Oryzias latipes: one gene and its partners. The protein of the gene in region 2 purifies or fractionates together with the protein of the main gene of each other region. This does not show direct contact. Links are inferred from orthologs where the notes say so. Each region holds a gene or a part of one and is shown on either strand. Other genes may lie near its edges. The genes, in order: kif3b, kifap3 and kinesin-like protein KIF3C.

Region 1 (6,493 bases), on a different chromosome or scaffold from region 2:
AAGGTATGTTTTTTTTCTTAAAAGTTATATATTTTTTAGTCTTCTGTTTTTTTTTTTTTTTAACAGTGACTCGAATCTCTTCCAATCTTTAAATACTTTAATAGAGCAGGAAAAACACAAAAACTGAGTTGGAAATCAGCTCCCTGAAAAAACTAAATGTGTGTTGGATCGGTGCAGTGGAAAGAAAGATACCGACCTCAGCTTAGCTGTTCCTGTTTGGCTTCTTAATTGGAAAAGCTGAGGCTAATAAAAGCCTTCGGTGGCACAGAGCCGCGAACCGAGCCCGGTGTGACCGACCCGAACCCGGACTGAGCGAGGCGTTAGCGCGTTCGGTAACAAACAACACCGGCCTGGCAACGGCAAACACACCGGTCACCTAAGCTACAAATCTGGTAGCATCCGCCGGCTAACAAACGGAACACCCCAACGGACAACGATCACCGAGGAGAGCTTAACGTCTGAACCCGCCCGATAACCACTGCAGCCTCACAAATCACAAGAAACGTCGCGTTGTTTTTCCCTCAATAAATAGAAACTAGATCCTAACTACCATCAATGAGGGGAAAAGTCCGTTTCATGAGCGGCTGAACGAGCCGCCAGCGGCGCTGCGCGTCTACTCGCGTAGTTACGGTTAAAGGGATTGAGCCAGGGGCGGACCTAGCAAGTCGGGGGCCACAGGCGAATACTCGCCCCTCACATTCTAAAATAGAAAGTGCCTGGGGTATTCCAACCCATTTATTTACGCCACCGTCATAGTCACACCGTAAGAGCTGAAGAAAATCAAAACAACAAACTTACAATAATTCCTTTTTGATTTACAACCATTCTTTACCTCAGCTAGTAGCGTTAGATTGTTGAATAACTTCAAACAGAAACATTTTTTGTTATTTTACATAAAACCAATTGAAAATAATCACAAAATGTATACAGAGTAAACAGAACCAAAAATCATACCTGTTCGCCTTCCAGCTAGATGCCAAAAACAAATGATAGCTTTAGACAGTTATCCGTCTGTTATTTGTCTGTTTGCTTTGTTGCCGTAGCATCAGCTGTTAACCGTTTTTTTTTGTTTCTGTTGAACTGACGCACTTCACAGAAAAAGCAGAAGTAGGTGGAACCTTCACAATAAAAGTTTTCAAAACAAAATACACTCTGCAAACAATACTGTTTTTATAATGTTCTTTTACATCTTCAGCATACTTCTTTTGAAATAAAAGGCATCTTCAATCAAAGGAAATGTTAAACAATACTGGTAATAAGAAAACAATTAAAATGGGTCATTTACAGGCTCCAAAAAGCCAAAACGCCCTAACTAAGCAGATATGACTCAGTCATTCTATTTGTCAGAATAACTATTGTAGTTCCTTCCAATCTTTTTTTTTTTTCCCACAGGAAATCATTTAAGTTGTAAACTGACCAATCAAATGCCTCAGTAAAAGTATGTGTTGCCCACTGGCCCCTCCCTCCAACGTTTGACAGTTTGCAAGGGGTGTGAACTTCGAACATGCTCACTCCTGATTGGCGACAGCAGTTACCATAGAAACATTGACTCTTTGGACCAATTACTCTCGTTTGCCTCCAGTAAGGCGACGTCCGTATCGCAAAAGAAAAAGCCCACTGAGTTGGCTTCATTTTGCTGGAGCCAGAAGTAAAGCAATTTCTATGGGTGACGTCACACGTACTCAGTCCAGTTCTCTTATACAGTCATTGAGGCGTACAATAACTCTGCAGTGGTTGTATTTCTTCCTTATCTAGGGTAAATTGCCTGTTGAATAACTTCTTCGCTTGTCCACTTTTAGACAGCATCAATGGATCAAGGATCCAAATGTTTTTTTAATACAGTATCTAAAAGCAGAAATCACATTTAAATGTGATAGAAATGTATTTTTCATACATTATTTGATTACCGTAATTGTCCAAATTCCTTTAACTTTCAGTTAACGGTTTCTAAAAACAAAATGAACCACAATAATTGTGTTTCTGAACATTGCATCTGACAATTTGAACTTCTCAGACAATTTGTTTTCCCACCATAGGGATGAAACCCAAAAAATTATTAGAAATGAAGTCATCATTTGGTTTGTTTTTAATTCAACCCCGTAGCATGACAATCTAACTTTAGGATGATTATTATGTTTAAACTTATTCAAACAAACTATTCCAGTTCCGTGGTAATCACGTCCCTTGTGCAATATTACTTATTGTAGGTAAATTTCATTTGATTTATAAAAAAAAAAAAAAAATTCCAAGTTGAACCTTCAGCCCAGTAACAATGATTCAACCCTGTAACAGGGTTTTTTTTGTTTGTTTTGAGGTTGAAAGTTATAAAGTTTTAGCTAATAGAAGCCTCATGTAAACATTAGCTAGATTATTGAGGGTCATACATGTGTAACCGTTTTCTGGTCTCTGCTCTGCGTTGTGTGATGTTGAGCACCCTCAGGAAGCCACGAGACACCGGAGAAACTTTCTTGGAGCGGTTTTCTTTATTTTCTGGTTGTGACAAAATATGGCATCAACACGTGCTGCACTCCGATAATGCCCCAAAACTAAAAATATAAATTTCAAACGAGCACCAACATTGCATACAAAGAACTAGATCATGTTTGAAAATCTTTGGTGTTGGACCGGACGGAAAAGGAAAGAAGGGAAGAAGAGAGAGGGACGTTAGAGAGAGGGGGGGGTAGGAGGGTGATAATAGGAGGGGAAGGGGGGTAAGACCATGAAGCAGCATAGAGCAGACAGGTTTACTGGTTGTTTATCATTACGGTACGGTTCAAATGTAGTACAAAAAGGGCTCTTTCATATATCGTTTCATATGGGGCTGAACAAAACTGAGAGGTGTCATAAAATGATGCAAATTTTTTCTTATATTACTTATATTTAGGTGAAAGTAGAAAATTACATTAGAAAAATAAAACTTGCAGTTATTGGCTATTATCTGTTTTATATTTAGTGAAAACGTAGCCTTGGTCAGTGGGGACATGCTCGTTTGTCTGACCCCTTTGCCTCGGCAACCCATCAAATGTTTCTAATTCTCACAATATATTTGTCTGTGATAATGCAGAGAGACATTGATCTTTCCATGTCTTGTTTTAAAATGCACTTTGGGGTTTACTTTAATGTAAAAATCTCTGAGACAAACCTGTGGGACACAAAGTGCACTTATTTCAGAGAATCGGCCATTCTTACCTGGAAAAAAACAATTAATTTATTGATTTCACTAATTTGTTACCTACTCACATTACCATAGCAACAAATCACATTCTTCTGTGTTTCCTTTAATCTGTCAGGTTTTACCTAAAAAGCCCAAAAGAAAGGAAAAAACACTTGCACGATGGAACAAACAAAACACCACACTGGAGTGGCGTAAGTAAAACAAAAAAAAGTTGTTTAAATAAAAACAAAGTGCTGCTTTGTGGTATTCTTTTTTTTTTTTAAACTTCACTGAAGATGAACACATTTACAGAGCATATAGACAAATCAAAAGGCAAATGTTTTTAATTTATGATGTTAATAGGGTTACACTTACTGTTTAGAAATCGTTCCAACTGGCTCCAGTTTACAGTTCAGTCCATATTAGCTAGCTTTTCAAAATAAACTTCCGGTTTGCGATTTTCTTTCAGTCTGCGTGGTGGTTTTCTTCTTCTTCTTTTTTACGTTTTATGACAGGTTTTAGTCCCCCCGGCATTCACAGAACCTAGAGATAACGGCATGATTTAGAAAAATGATTTAGAAAAAAAGAGAAAAAATATTTTTAGCCGTCTTTTCACTTTAACGGACACAGGTGTACCTCATCACGTCGGTTGATTTTTTTGTTTCCCGCTTGAAGGGACAGCAGATGTTTTTTTTCTCAAGGCTCACTTCTGTTCTCAACCGACTAACTAAACTTCCGCGAGGCACTGCTGAAGTATGAACAAATGTGCTTTTACTGACTTTAAAAAAAAAAATGTCTTTTGAGTATTTGTTCGTCATTATTTGGCTAAATTCTGCTAAGTAATTTAGATTATTGCTTGATTACGCTTGATTTGTTTCAGTTGGCCTTATTTACACATTAGCATATTTTTATTAAAGTAATTCTAGTCCTTTGTTTTTATTTCAGCTTTAAATATTTTTTATGTAAATGCTAAGGTTTACATTTAATATATATTTTTAATACTTTATCTTTGTTTTGAATTTCATCAAACTTCCGCGTTTATTTTGAGACTTTTTTTGTTTCTTTTTTTTTTTGGTATTGGCTGGATATATTGACATTTGAGTTTTTTCTTTTTTAATTCTTTAATTAAATTAATGTAAATTCTTTTTATAAATTAAGTTGGTGTAAATTTTGACTTTAGACAAACTTGTTGGTTAAAAATAAATTTGGTTCTAAAGAACAAACGTCACTGGTTGGTTGTCATCAGTTTAGATTTTTAAATGTTTTCAGATCAAAGAGGCACCTTTTCTAACTGGAAGTCATTTATTTTTACGTCTCTCACGTTCTTCCAATCAGAAAAGCTTTCTGAGGCGAGGATGGCCTCTCAGAGCGCCAACAGAAATGGAGGAACTTGGACGTCCGACTCAAAGTCCTACAAACTGTCCAGCGTTGTGAGAACCATGAACAGCTTTAGAAAAGAGGTAAGAATAAGATGGACTTTGGTGTTTCAGCACACAAGGCGTTTGTTCTGACATGTGGCGCCGGCCCCCTCCTGCAGGGTAGGCTCTGCGACGTGACCCTGGTTGTTCAGGGGAATCGGTTCTCTGCTCACAGAGGGATTCTGGCGGCAGCCAGTCATTTCTTCCATCTTCTGTTTAGCAGTAAGTAAAATGCAAAGCCATATTGGTCGATTTGATCTGAAGCTAAGCTTTCTTTTCTCTCTTCAGCCAGTATGGTGGAGTCTAGGACTCATGAGGTGGAGCTGAGGGACGTTTCCCCTGACATTCTTCAGCTGGTGATTGGTTTCATTTACACGGCGCAGTGAGTCATGTGGCTTTGCTGAGCAGAAGTCGGTACTGTGATGCAGCATGAACCCATGTTACTTTCAGAGTTTCGGTGGACAACCAAAACGTGGAGGCTCTGCTGTACGCAGCGGACTTTTTCCAAATCGATCCCATCAAGAACGTTTGTGTGGAATTCATCAAAAGACAGATTGATGCAACAAACTGCCTGGGTAACGTAAAAGGAAATGAAACGTCCGTCTCGTGGTCCTCGTGTTTGCTGACCTGCTTGTGTTGCAGATGTTGCAGTCCTTGCAGATCGTGCAAACTGTCCGGGGCTGAAGGCCATAGCAGAGAGCATCCTCAGACGCAACTTTACCAGGATCTGGAAGACCAGCAGATTCCTCCAGCTTGATGTGACCACACTCACTCATCTGCTGCGCCAGGAAAAGCTTAAAGTTTGTGGGGAGGAGGTATGTGACTTTAAAGTTATGCCATTATATATATTTACACTGTTATGTGGGGAATTTTAGAAGTCTGACCTGAAATGAAGGTTGTTTGCAGCGAGGAAACGGCTAAAGACCCACTCCGAGGAAAATTGTTTTTGGCGTTTTAAACATGTTCTTGTGGCATTTTTCTTATTATGGAGCACATGTATAATAATAATATATATATATAATATATTTTTTTTCTTTTTTGTTGTTTTTTAGGTTGGGGATATGAGGGGCTGTAAGCCAGTAAGAGAGCGCTAAATGGAGAGCACAGTTATGGGTGGCAGGAAGGCACGGCGGGGTTAACTCGCCAACAACTCTGAGGCGAATTTCTAATGAACTACTGCCGCTCTGCAGAAATGTTTGAGAAAACGATGAGTTCCTTGATTTTTGGCTTACACCCCCCCCCCCTCCCCCCCCCCCCGGGCATAATCATAATCTAAAGCCCACTGGGAACACCTTGAAAATGGATCAAAAGATGATTGGAGTGGGACTTTAAAACAAAAACTACTTACCTCCTGACATGTAGATGTATTTTTTTACCTTTTAGAAAAATTGCAGATTTGTTTTTTATTTATTAATGTTTGGAATGCAACCACAAAAGGGCACAATCCAGTGTTTTGCTGTGCCAGTCTTGAGTCAAGATAAACAGTTTTATCAAGGGCATCTAATTTAAAACAAAGCCTGCAGGTCAAAGCCAGAACTTTCATACCTATCACGGTCTTTATAGTTGACTAAGCAAGGAGGAGGAAGTGAAGGAGTCTAAAGTGAACGAAGAACAAAAAGACTGCTGGTGCTGACAAGTTCAAAGTGGAGGATCAGATTTGAACCCCCCGATTGTCTGTGGTGATGGACAGACGGACAGCTGAAGTTAGACAGGAATCTCTGAGAACCAGGATGTTTGCAGATGACACTGTGATCTGTAGTGAGAGCAAAGAGCAGGTGGAGGAACATCTAGGGAGGTGGAGGTTTGCTCTTTTAAGGAGAGTAATGAAGACGGATCTGTCTTCTGTATCTGTGCGTAAATGAGGGGAATCTTTAGGCCAGTGTTTTTCAACCAGTGTGCCGCGGCACACTAGTGTGCCGTG
Region 2 (6,342 bases):
TGGACAGTGTGGACCAAAATGTCCCTCAAAGAAAGCGAGAGCTGCTGAGACAAATGTCCAATCCTCGAGATGACGACAAAGAAAGAGTTAACAGAAAGGTGGAGCTGCTAAAGAAGGACCCTGAAAACCAGGACATGTGTAGCCATGATGCAGGCTAACACACATGGACTCACACCCTACTTTTTTTTTTTGCACAGATGAGCGTGCAGGAGTATGAGATGATCCAGGACGAGGACGAGCGTTGCCTGAAACGCTACAGGAAACAGTGTATGCAGGAAATGCACGAGCGCCTGAGCTTTGGTCCCAAGTTTGAATGTGTCCACGAGCTTGAGAGCGGAGAAGCTTTCCTGGAGGTGATAGAGAAGGAGCATCGGCTAACCCTGGTAGTCGTTAACATCTACCAGCAAGATGTCAAAGGTTTGCTTCTCAGTTGCTGACATTTAAATATGATTTTTAGATTGAGCTCCCAAGCGTCATAAATATAATTCTGATGGATTTTTCTTTGTTTTGTCAGGCTGTGAGCAGATGAACTCATGCTTGGACTGCCTGGCTACAGAGTACCCCACTGTTAAGTTTTGTCGCATTGATGCCGTGGCAACAGGAGCTGCGGAGCGCTTCTCCTCTGAGGTTAGTGCCCCAGCAGAAGACAAATAAAAAGCTTCAATTCTGACTCAAGAAATTGCTGTGGAGAAACAAAATGAGATAAACTTGACCTGCCACCCAGTCGCCTACAGACACACAGCATGGGAAACAAGTCACGAAAACTTAGATGTTTGATCAAAAAGTTTTGACTAATACAAATCAATAAATCCTCTCAGGACAGATGTGTCACTCAGATTTAAAAAATGTGCTTAAAAATGACTACCCTGCCAAAAGATTATTGATTGAAACTTAATAGCAACTAACAAATATTGTTTTGATTGTTCTTTCAGGTCCTTCCCACTTTGCTGGTGTACAAATCTGGTGAATTACTGGGTAATTTCTTGTCTATTACCAAACACTTCAATGAAGAGTTCTTCGCGACAGATGTGGAGGCGTTTCTCAATGAATATGGCCTCTTACCTGAGAAAGAGTTCGCTGCATGTGCGGACGAGGAAGATGATGCTGCGAATGTGGAGTAAAAAAAAGGGGGAGGCAGATCAAACTCATTTTTATTAAAAGAGTGGGGGAAAAGAGATTTGAAGAGAGGGGTTGATGGATGGATGGATGGATGGATGAATGGATGTTGACAGTGTTTAAGTCAGAACACTCACAATCAAAAGAGTCAAAGTACAGAATAGTTAACATCCAACAGAACATGCTGGACAGCAGTTGTATTTAGGGGCAACTAGGAGTAAATCCTCAAGTGTGGGGCAGCCTGTATGAAAACACTGCTTTAAAGTCATATCATAGCTCACCAATAAATTGTCTTGACCAGAGTTTCTTTGTCTGTCTTTCTGTGTGGCATTGTGTGGAGGGATGATTCTTTTTGTCTTTTTTCTCACTTTTTCATACCAAAACTAGTCAAATCATTAATCGGTGCTCGCTAAAAGGACAAAAAGCCCTATAACAATCAAGTGGGACTTGTCTGCATGTTTAGTTTAGCTTAATGAGTCTTATAGTCTGAAAAGTATATTCCTTTTTAAAATTAAAATAGTTTTATTTTTCTTCAACCAAAGAGCCACAATAGAGGCTTTAAAGAGCCACTTGTGACTCCACAGCCTCAGGTCACTGTCACTTTAGGAGCTTGTGGTATATCTGGAACAAAAGGAGGAACTTGGTTGGAACATGTGCACTTGGTTCAGCAGCTGCACAGGGGCTCAAAGAAAAGCTCTCCAACGGTCATCAGCACCGCCCAAAAGATTGTTGACTGCTCTCTCCCCACCTGGAAACTCTCCACAGCTCCAGCTGCCTCAACAGAGCGCAGAATATCTTTAGAGACACATCACACCCCAGACATATTAAGTTCTGTTTGTGCCAAAAATATATGGGTCAAGCAGAGTAAGGACAAAAAGACTCTAATACAGTTTTTACATAATCCATAAAAATGTTAAATGTGGCTAGGAAACATTTAAGCTGGACTTCCGCTAAATTGTGATACAACGGACATTTTCTTCTTCATTATTATTATTATTATTATTATTATTATTATCTGAGTTTAACACATATTGACTATCATGTTTTTTTTTAGCAGTAGTCCATATAAAGCAACAAATTGGTTTAATTTCAAGTTTTAAGCACTGCCCAATGTACTTCTATGTTTTACTTTTTATTTTAAGTGGTAGGTCTTTACCATGGGTTGTTTTTAAGGTATGACAATTAATGATAAAGATCTATCTATCTATCTATCTATCTATCTATCTATCTATCTATCTATCTATCTATCTATCTATCTATCTATCTATCTATCTATCTATCTATCTATCTATCTATCTATCTATCTATCTATCTATCTATCTATCTATCTATCTATCTATCTATCTATCTATCAAAGCACAGTATAACATATAGGGGGGATTTAATGAGACTGAACAAAGTATTGTATCTTACAATTAAATTTGCGACAGCGGCTCGAATTATTTTAAAAAGCTCTCCTTTACTGACTCAAGTTGTGTTGTGGACATTAAACTGTGCCCTATACAATTGTATGTGTAAATTGTATTATTACACATTACTTTCTGCTTCTGATCGTATTTCTTTTCCAGCTGTGAGGATTTGGATTTGAAATGTTGCCTTAAAGTCATTACTTAGGGTCTACATTCCCCCTGTAAGTTATAACTCAGGGCACCATTTGCCCACCGACGGCTAACCCTCTAGCTTTGTATTATTGTATTAACTGCCGCTATCATTGACAGTCTGTGACGGGCAACCGCTGTGATTTCGGAGTAAGCTCAATCAGATGTGATACAACTATAGAAATAATAAAAGGGTAAATTAACATTTACAAGAAAATGCAGGAAGACACGCGCTGCCTCAAACGGTGAGTTAGAATGAATGAGTTATTTTTTGTCGATCGATCATCGACCAAGGCCTAGAAGAAAGAAGACGAGCTCTGTAATATTTAAATGAAAAAGTGATTGATTAATTATATCAGCAAGTATTTGTTTTTTGTAATTCGCAAGAGTCGTCACTTCACGAAAGACTATAGCCTAGCAAACACGTTTATATTTTGCTTAATGGGTACGGAGAGAAAGGCGTGCTGTTATTTATTTGCTTTCTTTTTGTTAAATGTACACCACATCTCGCAATTAAAGATGACTGTCGCTGCTTTGCACAAAACAACAACAAAACGCATGTTAAATTGTTACCTGAGGGTTTTTTTTTTTAATGAAGGGGCTTATGGGAAATCAGGGGGTTGCTAGCCTAGCTAATGAGCTAAACATGGAGAGACTAGTTTAAACGGCAACAGATAATATGTATTGTTTTACTGCTTCAACAGCTGGTTGTTGGTTTTCAGTCATAAGACAGTCAGCGTCCGCGAGTGTTTGTGATACACGTCGACGATGGAGATTCCAATAGGCCATCCTTTTCCCGTTGTCCAGCAATGTACGACAAGATTGACATCATCATATTGGGAGGGGCAGTAAATAACGACACATGGCTTTGCAGATACAAAATAAGACCCAGGCCGTGGTATCATGGCCCGTCCTGCTATCCCCACTGCCAAAGTGGAACAGCAACAGCCACATGAAACAGTGGTTCCACAGGAAACACAAAGTAAAACATTGGAGTTTTGGATAATTGGGTCTGGAAAGTATCACTGCCCAGCTGGGGTCAGCAACTTTCCTGTTGGCCGAGCGATGGATCAAGGTGGCATGCTAATGGTTCAAGTCTTTTTTCAATGATCATTTGGAACCATCTCCCTTCAGTCTCCCTGCAGTGGAACTGCAGTGGATCCATCCACTACTACCACACTCACCCCGCCCGGTTTGTGTTTCTGTTCGCAGGGCTCTCTACCTACTAGGGGTGTAACGATTCATTTGAACAATTCGATTCGGTATTTTTGCCAATCGATTTCAATTTGGCTTCATTTTGAACAATTTGATTCAATGTTATTCACTGACCTAAAATCAATCCAGAACATCTTCAGCTAACATTTCAACCAGTGTGACTCAGAGAGAAGCACCTGGTACTGAGCAGTGAAGGGGGGCATTCCAGAAAGCAGGTTATGCGAGTTACCACGGTAAGTTTGAGGCTAAGGAAGCGGATAACCTCATCTTTCAGTTCCAAAAATGGAGGTATGTTTCAGGGTATGTCAAGTTGCCATAGCAACTCTTGCTCTGAACATAACCTGGTCTGGAGCTGGTTTAGTTGAAGGTTACTTTGTTTTCAGAGAGGTGAAGGAGCATGGCGAGTCCATTTGAAGATGATTTAGTGGATGAAGAAGCTCAGATAATACTTTTTCCACCATGAGAGGGCGATAAGACCATGTATGGATGTTCAAGATTCATGATTTGTTTTATTGTCATTCCACATATAGTATTTGCAGAGAAATACACAGATGAGACGAGATGTTGTTTCTCACTAGCATGACAGTGCAAGAAAGCAGCAATAATAAAAAATAGCAATAAAATAACAATCCAAGACTGGAAAAAAAACAATGAAATGAAATTAATAAAAAAGGAAAGATAAACTTTTTTACATTGATCTAACTTAATTATTTGCTTCAGTTAAGATAAATCTTTTTTTTAGTTAAGGCTGCTTAAAAATAACACGTAGTTATCAGACTTTTATTTTACTTTCATTCAATTTAATTCAATTAAGTAGATGTAACTTTGATGCTGCTGTTAGAGCGGCACCGCAAGGGATTGTGGGATACCATTTCCTTTGCCTGTCTGGACGGATTTGGTTTTAAGTGTGGGTTTTTGACCAAGGCTGTTTATTTGTTTAGCTGTTTTACTGTGTTTTGCCTAGTTATTATGTCCTACTATGGTTAAGTCTCTGCACCATGAGTGAGAGGGAGGGAGAGGATGATGAGTTTATTTGTTCTCTGTCATTAAAGATTATAATTATGTGTTTGTTTTTTTCACAAGACATTTTAGACTGTTAACATTTTGACCTCATATTTGTTCAATTTTGATCCCCAGCAAAGTGACGTTAGGGAGTCTGGATGTCCATCCCACAGAGAAGGCTCTGGTTGTTCACTACGAGGTTCAGGCTGCTGTCTTAGGAGGTGGTGGAGGTCCTGTGCTTGGTGAACGCAAAGAAGGACAAAAAATGTATGTTTCTTGTTATCTTTCCTATATTTAAATCAAACGGATTGATTAACTTGTTAAGTTAGTTTGGATTTGTTTAAAAGTTGTATCCACCAAAACTGGATTAGCATTGTTATACATTTTTGCAATGATTAACAATGAAAAATTAGCTACTTCTAAATGCATCAGCCTCTACATTCTCCAAATGGAAATAATAGATGGAGTCAGTTATTTGTGATGCTTCAATGTTTGCCCTTCTCTCCATTTAGAATCCGTTTGAAGAGCCTCTCTCCTACCACAGATGTGGCAGCGTTGGCTAAGAAAGTGGTGGAGGAGTGCAAACTCCTCCCTGCCTCCCGTTTGCCACAAGTGGAGCAGCTCCTCTACTACCTGCAGAACAGAAAGTCCTCCCCGGTGGAGGGTAAAGGTCAGACATTTAGGCCGAGCACGTTCTAGGAGATGCTTTTAGTTTCTTTTTGTTTGCAAACACTTCAGGTTCTCAAGCTCATAATTTGTACAGAAAAATGGTTTCAGGGTTTGAACGTTTTAAACGTAATATGCCAAAATAGAAATAGGCTTTATGATTCAGTGATGTTCTCGTTATGGTACTAAACAAACTTTTTGTAAAATAATAACATAAACTGTTGAAAAAATTAGCTTTTTTTAAAAAAACTATAATGATTTATTGTATATGAATGTGTTTTTATTATTACCAGTGGAAAGGAAAGAGAAAAGACAAGTGAAGCCCAAAGATCTGACACCATTTGAAGGACTGGAGGTAAAGACTTCATTCAACACAGCAAACAGATGAAATCCTTATCTGTTAAAGTGCTTTTTCCTTTTAAAGTCAACCACATTTTGTTTGCCTTTTTTTGTCTTTCTAGTTAAATGAAGAAGCTAGTATAACTAAAATAGATGAGTACGTGGAGCTGCTCTATGAAGGCATCCCAGAAAAGATCCGAGCATCTGCTCTCATTCTGCAGCTGGCCCGTAACCCCGACAACCTGGAGGAACTCCTGCACAATGGCATGAAGTCAATTTACTTTCTTGTTGTGTTCAGTCTAAGCGTGAAATGTATTTACTGTATACAGACGGAAACTTTCTTCAGTTATTCAGTTACAAAAATGCATTTTAATACATAATTACTTATGCACCAGCCAAATCGTTT
Region 3 (5,799 bases), on a different chromosome or scaffold from region 2:
GACAAATAGATAGATGAACGTCTTCGTTCTCCTCGCCTGAGCTGGAAACTGGAACTTAACTTTATGATTCCAATATGTTAGCTTGGGGTTGTGAGTGGCTGTAAACTAATGGAAGGAAGTGTAAACAAATGAATGATGTGTGCAGGCTATTCTGGGCCAACAGCCCCGCCCACAACTCAGAGGAGACTTTCTAAAAAACTCCTGCTGGTCTGCAGAGTCTACGTCCTAGAAAATGAGGCAGATTTCTTTCTTTTTGGGCTAAAAACAACATCATCATAATTTAAAAACCACTGGGAAGGATTTTACAATAGATCAAAAGATGATCGGATGGAGACTTTAAATAAAAAAAACTAGGAGAAAATGCTAAATATGTATGAAAAAAGTGCCTAAACTTTAAAATAATTCAATGTAATCGTTTTTGTGTTAAATTGTTTTGAAGTAAAAACCACTTCAAGACAAAAAAATGACAAAAATATTTACATATGTATGCCTGTTCTGCAGCTTTGCAAGCAGGTTTTCTTTTCATTCATAGATTCATTTAAAAAAGTTTCAATCAAGGGCTTCCAGGTGAGTTAAAAGCCACGTTAAAGCGGTGAAAGTCCACATGCGGGCTCACCAGGAGCTGGACTTGTGAATGTCTCTGTTCTTGGTGGGAGAGTTTTCCTGTGAGGGAGTTTGGTTTGTGGCCGCCTCCGCTAAGCAGTCCAGGGAGGACGGGTTTGGAGGACACATGTCCAGCTCCAGAAACATGATGTTTTCCGCCTGCAGAGGAGAGCACACAGACATGACATCACAGCAGCTGTCAGCAGTCAGGTTCTTCATAATTTACAACAAACATTTAAGGATTTCTCTTAGTATTGATGGTTCTTTGAGCATAAACTGAACACTTTTTGTTAATTAATATAAAAGGTGGCATAATCAGCAGATGACTAGACAATTATTTTGACCATAGATCCAAAGATTTTTACATTTTTTACAGGTAAAATTTAATTTTATTCATTTTTTCTTTTGGTGAAGATTTTTTTTTAGAAAATACCATTAAAATAATGTTAAATAAATACATTTTCTTAAATGGAAAGAAATAAAGAATAAGATTAATTAAAAAATATAAAAGGTGTAGTCATCTTTTTAAAGAAAGATAACATATTTGATCAAAAATTGAACAATGCAGAAGCAAAAACATATTTTTGTTTGACATTTGACATTAACTTAACATTCATTTTCCACATTTACTCTGATAAATAATAAGATACCTCACCACTATAAACAGATTTATGTTTTCATAGCACTGATTACAAAAAAAGCTCACCCTGAATCTGGAATGAGCTCCCATCGCTATGGCAACCCTAGCATACTGACTGATGGGTCGTTTGTATCCGACTGCAGATGTCGGCCTTTTCTTCATCTGTGAGAATTTACTGTAAAGGCAGAAGTTCCATCAGTGAATCACTAATTATGGCTTTAAGGGAGACTGTTTGAGATGAGAAAGATGAGAGAGGAAGAGCGTACTCCTGAAAACCATCACATGAAAGCATCACCGACCTCTGAGCGGGAACGAGAGGCTGGAAATTCCACTGATCCTCCTCTGGGTCGAAGGTCAGCCTGTTCATGATCTTATTCTTCTCCTCCGGAGGAATAAAATTCTCAATGATGAGATACCTGTGCAGACATGATGCAGCTTTAATGTGGCGAGACAGCAGCCTAAAAATATCAAACCAAAGAGCAGCATAGAGACAAACAGATGAATTATGAAGAATAGAATAAACTAAATATTGAGTTTGCTTACGGTACTAAATGTTAGTTGATGAATGTAACATTTATAAATACGTGAATGAAAATGTGAAAATATGTATCGGAAAAATGAAACCTGGTTTTTTTCTTCTAAAACAGGCTAAATAACCAAAAATATTGCTGGTTAGCACTCTTGCCTCACAGCAAGAATGTCCCCGGTTCAAGTCCCGCCAGGGGGACCTGAAACAGAATGGGGGACGTTGCATGTTTCTCTCCCTGCATGCGTTGGTTTTCTCCGGGGTTCATTGATTACCCTAAATTGTTCCTAGGTGTGAGTGTGTGATTTATGTGGACTGTCCCCTGCCTTCGCCCAAGAGTGGCTCCAGCGGCTACGGGACCCCGAAAGGGACAAAACAGGTTTAAGAGATGAATGAATGTTTTGCTGTTAATATCTGACTTTGTCACTTTACAAAAGGCAGCCCATAGCCCCACCCCTTCACGTTTGGTATGATTGAAAAGCCCAAAATGTCCTCTGTAGATACCAAAAGGAGTTCATTCAGTGGTATGCAGTTGTTGGGAGGGATTCATGTTTAGAAATATCCTCCACACCAGGGGTCCCCCAAATCCAGGCCAGTGTCCGACATGTTTTCTAACCCACCGGCTACTGAAGCTCCTTGTTGGCTAAACACCCCTGATCCAGGTAATCAGCAGCAAATAGGGCAGTGATTCTGGAAAACAGGACACCGGCCCTCAAGGCCTGGATTTGGGGACCCCTGCTCTGCACAGAACAGATTTACACTGCTGTGTGTGAGGTGAGAGAGCAGGTGGAAGAAGATAAACCGAGAAGCTGAGACGTGCTGGTGCCTGCACTTCCTCGGGACGCTGTTGTGACTCACTTGAACTTGAGCTCTCTGGTCAGCTCGTTTTGAGTCTGCTCCAGCTCCTGCCGGCTCCCCACATGCTCGTCGTTCATGTCCTTGATTTCCGCCTTGATGCACTGCAGCTTGGAGTACAGCTGCAGGAACACAAACAGTCAGCGGCTGAGAGGAGCCAAGCTTCTCAGTTTGGGGTATCTGCTGGTGCACTCGTCTCCAGATTGCAGCAGCTTGGTTGCCCATAGCAACAGCACTGGGGGCACTGGTATCTGGAGAGCTGGCCAGCCAATGGGAGCACGCCAAGTCCGCCCCCCACCCTCAATTTGGTTCATTCCTCTACTTCTCTGCTGCACCCCTTAGCCCCCACATTGTTCTGTATAACTTCAGCCTGAAAATCAGCCGCTCAGCCTGACTTTTAACCCCGAAACTGCAGTGAAGATGCATTTTATTGCAATGTGGACGACATTCTGCAAATATTTTAAACACAAAAACACTGAAAATAGAGATTTTCATGTAAACAAACCACAACGCGAGTCACTGAGTCGAGTGAAAGGATGTGTACACATCTGTTGGACTCACACATATGACCTCAAAGGAGTCAAACAGATGTGTAATTTAGATTTTTTTGTCTGAAATATGTTAGAACACAAATTTATCATGGTAAATTTTCAGACTTTGATACAGTATTTGCCTTAGTCTTCTACTTTACAAATCTCTTAAAGTTTTTAAAGCAAATTTTGAATTTTACTTAGGTATTTTAAATAAACATTGTGTAATTAGATTTTTTAAAACAGTTTTGTCAAAGTTGAGTTTTCATAGATGATCCTAAAATGTTCTGTGAAAGACGTACATTTTCTGTTATAATGCTTTGTGTGGTGGTCACTTAATTTTGTCTTCTAAATATCTTCAAGTTTCTCCAGCGAACTGAGCATTAAATTAGTATTTCAGTATTAAATTAGTATTTTAGCATTGCTGCCTCTTGTACAAACTATTTTAAGCTGACCATAAGTAAACAAAGCAGATATATAACTTTTTGAAAAAGATCTTGTTCACTGTTTTTTCCCCTATTTTTACTTTTTATGTTGCCATACAGTGGGGAAAAAAAGTATTTAGTCAGTCACCGATTGTGCAAGTTCTCCCACTTAAAAAGATGGGAGAGGCCTGTAATTTTCATCATAGCTTTACAGACCATAAAAACAAAGACGCACGTGGATCTATTTATTCTTTTTTTGTGGCCCGCCGAGAGTATTGTCTACGTAGCAAATACTATCTTATTCAAACAGTATTTTGTTGTCTGCTGATTCTGGTTCTGAAAATATCTGATCCTTATTCACAAGATTTGAACAAAGAAATACTCACAAATGCTATTTTAGGCCTAATTATCTTTAAATATCTCCTCCATCATGAGAAAAATGCCACAAGAACAAGATAAACACCAAAAACACAATTTTCAACTGAGTGGGTCTTTCATTCAGTATTTTAGTCTTTTTTCACACTGCTAGGAATAAATACTCTTTATGTAAACGAAGATCACAACTTTTCCAAAATAATATGAAATGGAGATAAAGCCAAGGACTCAGCCATAGGAAGTAAATACTTTTCCACACACTGCTTCTTCATTTTGGTTCAATTTATGTGAAACTGGTCATTTAAAGTAAATGTAAATATTGTCATCTAATGTGAATGTAATTTTTCTAAAAAATAGGTTACTTTATTGTTAGGAATAATTAGAAACAGAATAGTTAGAAACTCACTTTTACTTTTTATTACACTGATGGTTTAAACTTTGATTCACTATGTATTATCATCTCAAAATTATATTACAAGGCACAATCAAGACTATTGTCTCGTAACATTCCTTCAGCATCCTCCCCTTCCATCTTTGTGTGTGCTGGTGTGTGCGCTCTGCTAAATGTCTGTGATAACCTCAGAGAGATCTGACACTTTAAGCTCTCTGACCTTCGAACATCTAGCCTGCAACTGGGGGTGGATTTTTCACACCACCATCCATCGGATGATGTTCTGAATATGCAAATGCAGGACTTATATACCAAGCCCATTTTCCTGTTTTCTTTGTTCAGACTTTGAGCTCCGTTGTTCGGACTTTGATGCAGTAACCTGTTCATCTGTCTGTAACCCTTTGTACAAATCTGTGCCTTTTGTGCGGAGTAAATCTTCACTGAAGCTAAGTATTGTCTCTGAGTCATTATTCATTCATTTCTGTGTTCAAGAAATTGACAGGGTACGGACCTAATAATTTTATCAATACAGTCCAATCTAGCAGAGCCAGTTTCTTCACACTTATTTTGAAAGCTAGTAGACCCACCTTCTTGAGCTTTTTGGTCTTTGCCTCAACTTCCTGTTGTAGAGACGTGAACGTCTCCCTGAGCTCCACCGTCTCCTCATCCTGGACCAGCATCTGCTGCTGGATTTCCCTCTCCTTGCGAGTCTGACAACATAAAGTCCATCTTTAACAGCAGACTTTGTTTTCGAACGCACATGAGAAGGGATTTTAAGGGTGAGCACAGTTTCTTTACCTGCTCTGCAATCTCCTGCCTCTTCACCTCCAGCATCTTCTGTTGCTCGTTGGTGTGATCCATGATGTTCTTACCACCAACTAGAAGCTTGCTCTCCATCGCCTGAGAACAGAACCCATTATCAGTGTACGTTTTTAGAAACCAGCTGGCAAAACGTAAGATGAGAAGGCTGACTTCCAGGAACTGGAAAGGTGAGGCAAACTTTAGAATGAGCTAAAAACAAATAAGTTTCCAAAAGTACAAAGTCCCCAATCTGATCATCTTTTGATCTACTTTCAAAGTGTTCCCAGTGGTCTGTTCATTATGATTATACCACTTTTGGCCCAAATCAAAAACCTGTGTCGTTTTCTAGGACATAGTTTCTGCAGAACAGCAGTAGGTCATTAGCAATTCACCTCAGAGTTGTGGGCTCTTGGCAGGGAAAAACCCCTTCCCCAGAAAAGGTAGGAACTACGGGACATCACTGATTGGATAATGACGTTTGGAGTTTTTTCAAATGCATCTTATGCAAATTAATAAAGGTTTTATGATTGGTGGGCCCTGCGACAGGCTGGGGACCTGTCCGGGATGTACCCTGACTTTGCCCCGCAGTAGCCGGGTTGGGCTCTACCAGTCCTGTGAACTGGAAAGTGATATATTATGTTAAGTACATGGAT

The links.
Region 1: the proteins of kifap3 (region 2) and kif3b purify together in Homo sapiens (co-immunoprecipitation; 7 studies listed by BioGRID and IntAct, counting the BioPlex papers as one, with this or other methods). This does not show direct contact. The link is inferred for Oryzias latipes from reciprocal best matches to the Homo sapiens genes KIFAP3 and KIF3B.
Region 3: the proteins of kifap3 (region 2) and kinesin-like protein KIF3C purify together in Homo sapiens (co-immunoprecipitation; 3 studies listed by BioGRID and IntAct, counting the BioPlex papers as one, with this or other methods). This does not show direct contact. The link is inferred for Oryzias latipes from reciprocal best matches to the Homo sapiens genes KIFAP3 and KIF3C.

What each region holds. Positions count from the first base shown.
Region 1 is NC_019865.2:5,043,522-5,050,014, forward strand, and holds the start of kif3b (kinesin-like protein KIF3B), read right to left. Parts: upstream 3,617-6,493; 5' UTR 3,530-3,616; intron 1,058-3,529; exon of another isoform or gene 955-1,057; intron 648-954; exon of another isoform or gene 197-647; intron 1-196. Other genes in the region: kelch-like protein 7, read left to right, coding at 4,510-4,614, 4,692-4,794, 4,861-4,954, 5,023-5,147, 5,215-5,387. UniProt on the Homo sapiens protein: Microtubule-based molecular motor that transport intracellular cargos, such as vesicles, organelles and protein complexes. Uses ATP hydrolysis to generate force to bind and move along the microtubule. Plays a role in cilia formation.
Region 2 is NC_019875.2:21,194,530-21,200,871, reverse strand, and holds the start of kifap3 (kinesin-associated protein 3), read left to right. Parts: upstream 1-2,765; 5' UTR 2,766-2,930; coding exon 2,931-2,959; intron 2,960-5,066; coding exon 5,067-5,198; intron 5,199-5,443; coding exon 5,444-5,601; intron 5,602-5,890; coding exon 5,891-5,952; intron 5,953-6,058; coding exon 6,059-6,200; intron 6,201-6,342. Other genes in the region: rod type phosducin, read left to right, coding at 1-98, 198-417, 515-627, 933-1,121. UniProt on the Homo sapiens protein: Involved in tethering the chromosomes to the spindle pole and in chromosome movement. Binds to the tail domain of the KIF3A/KIF3B heterodimer to form a heterotrimeric KIF3 complex and may regulate the membrane binding of this complex.
Region 3 is NC_019882.2:17,758,238-17,764,036, reverse strand, and holds part of kinesin-like protein KIF3C, read right to left. Parts: intron 5,246-5,799; coding exon 5,144-5,245; intron 5,056-5,143; coding exon 4,933-5,055; intron 2,747-4,932; coding exon 2,628-2,746; intron 1,660-2,627; coding exon 1,543-1,659; intron 1,419-1,542; coding exon 1,310-1,418; intron 763-1,309; coding exon 617-762; intron 1-616.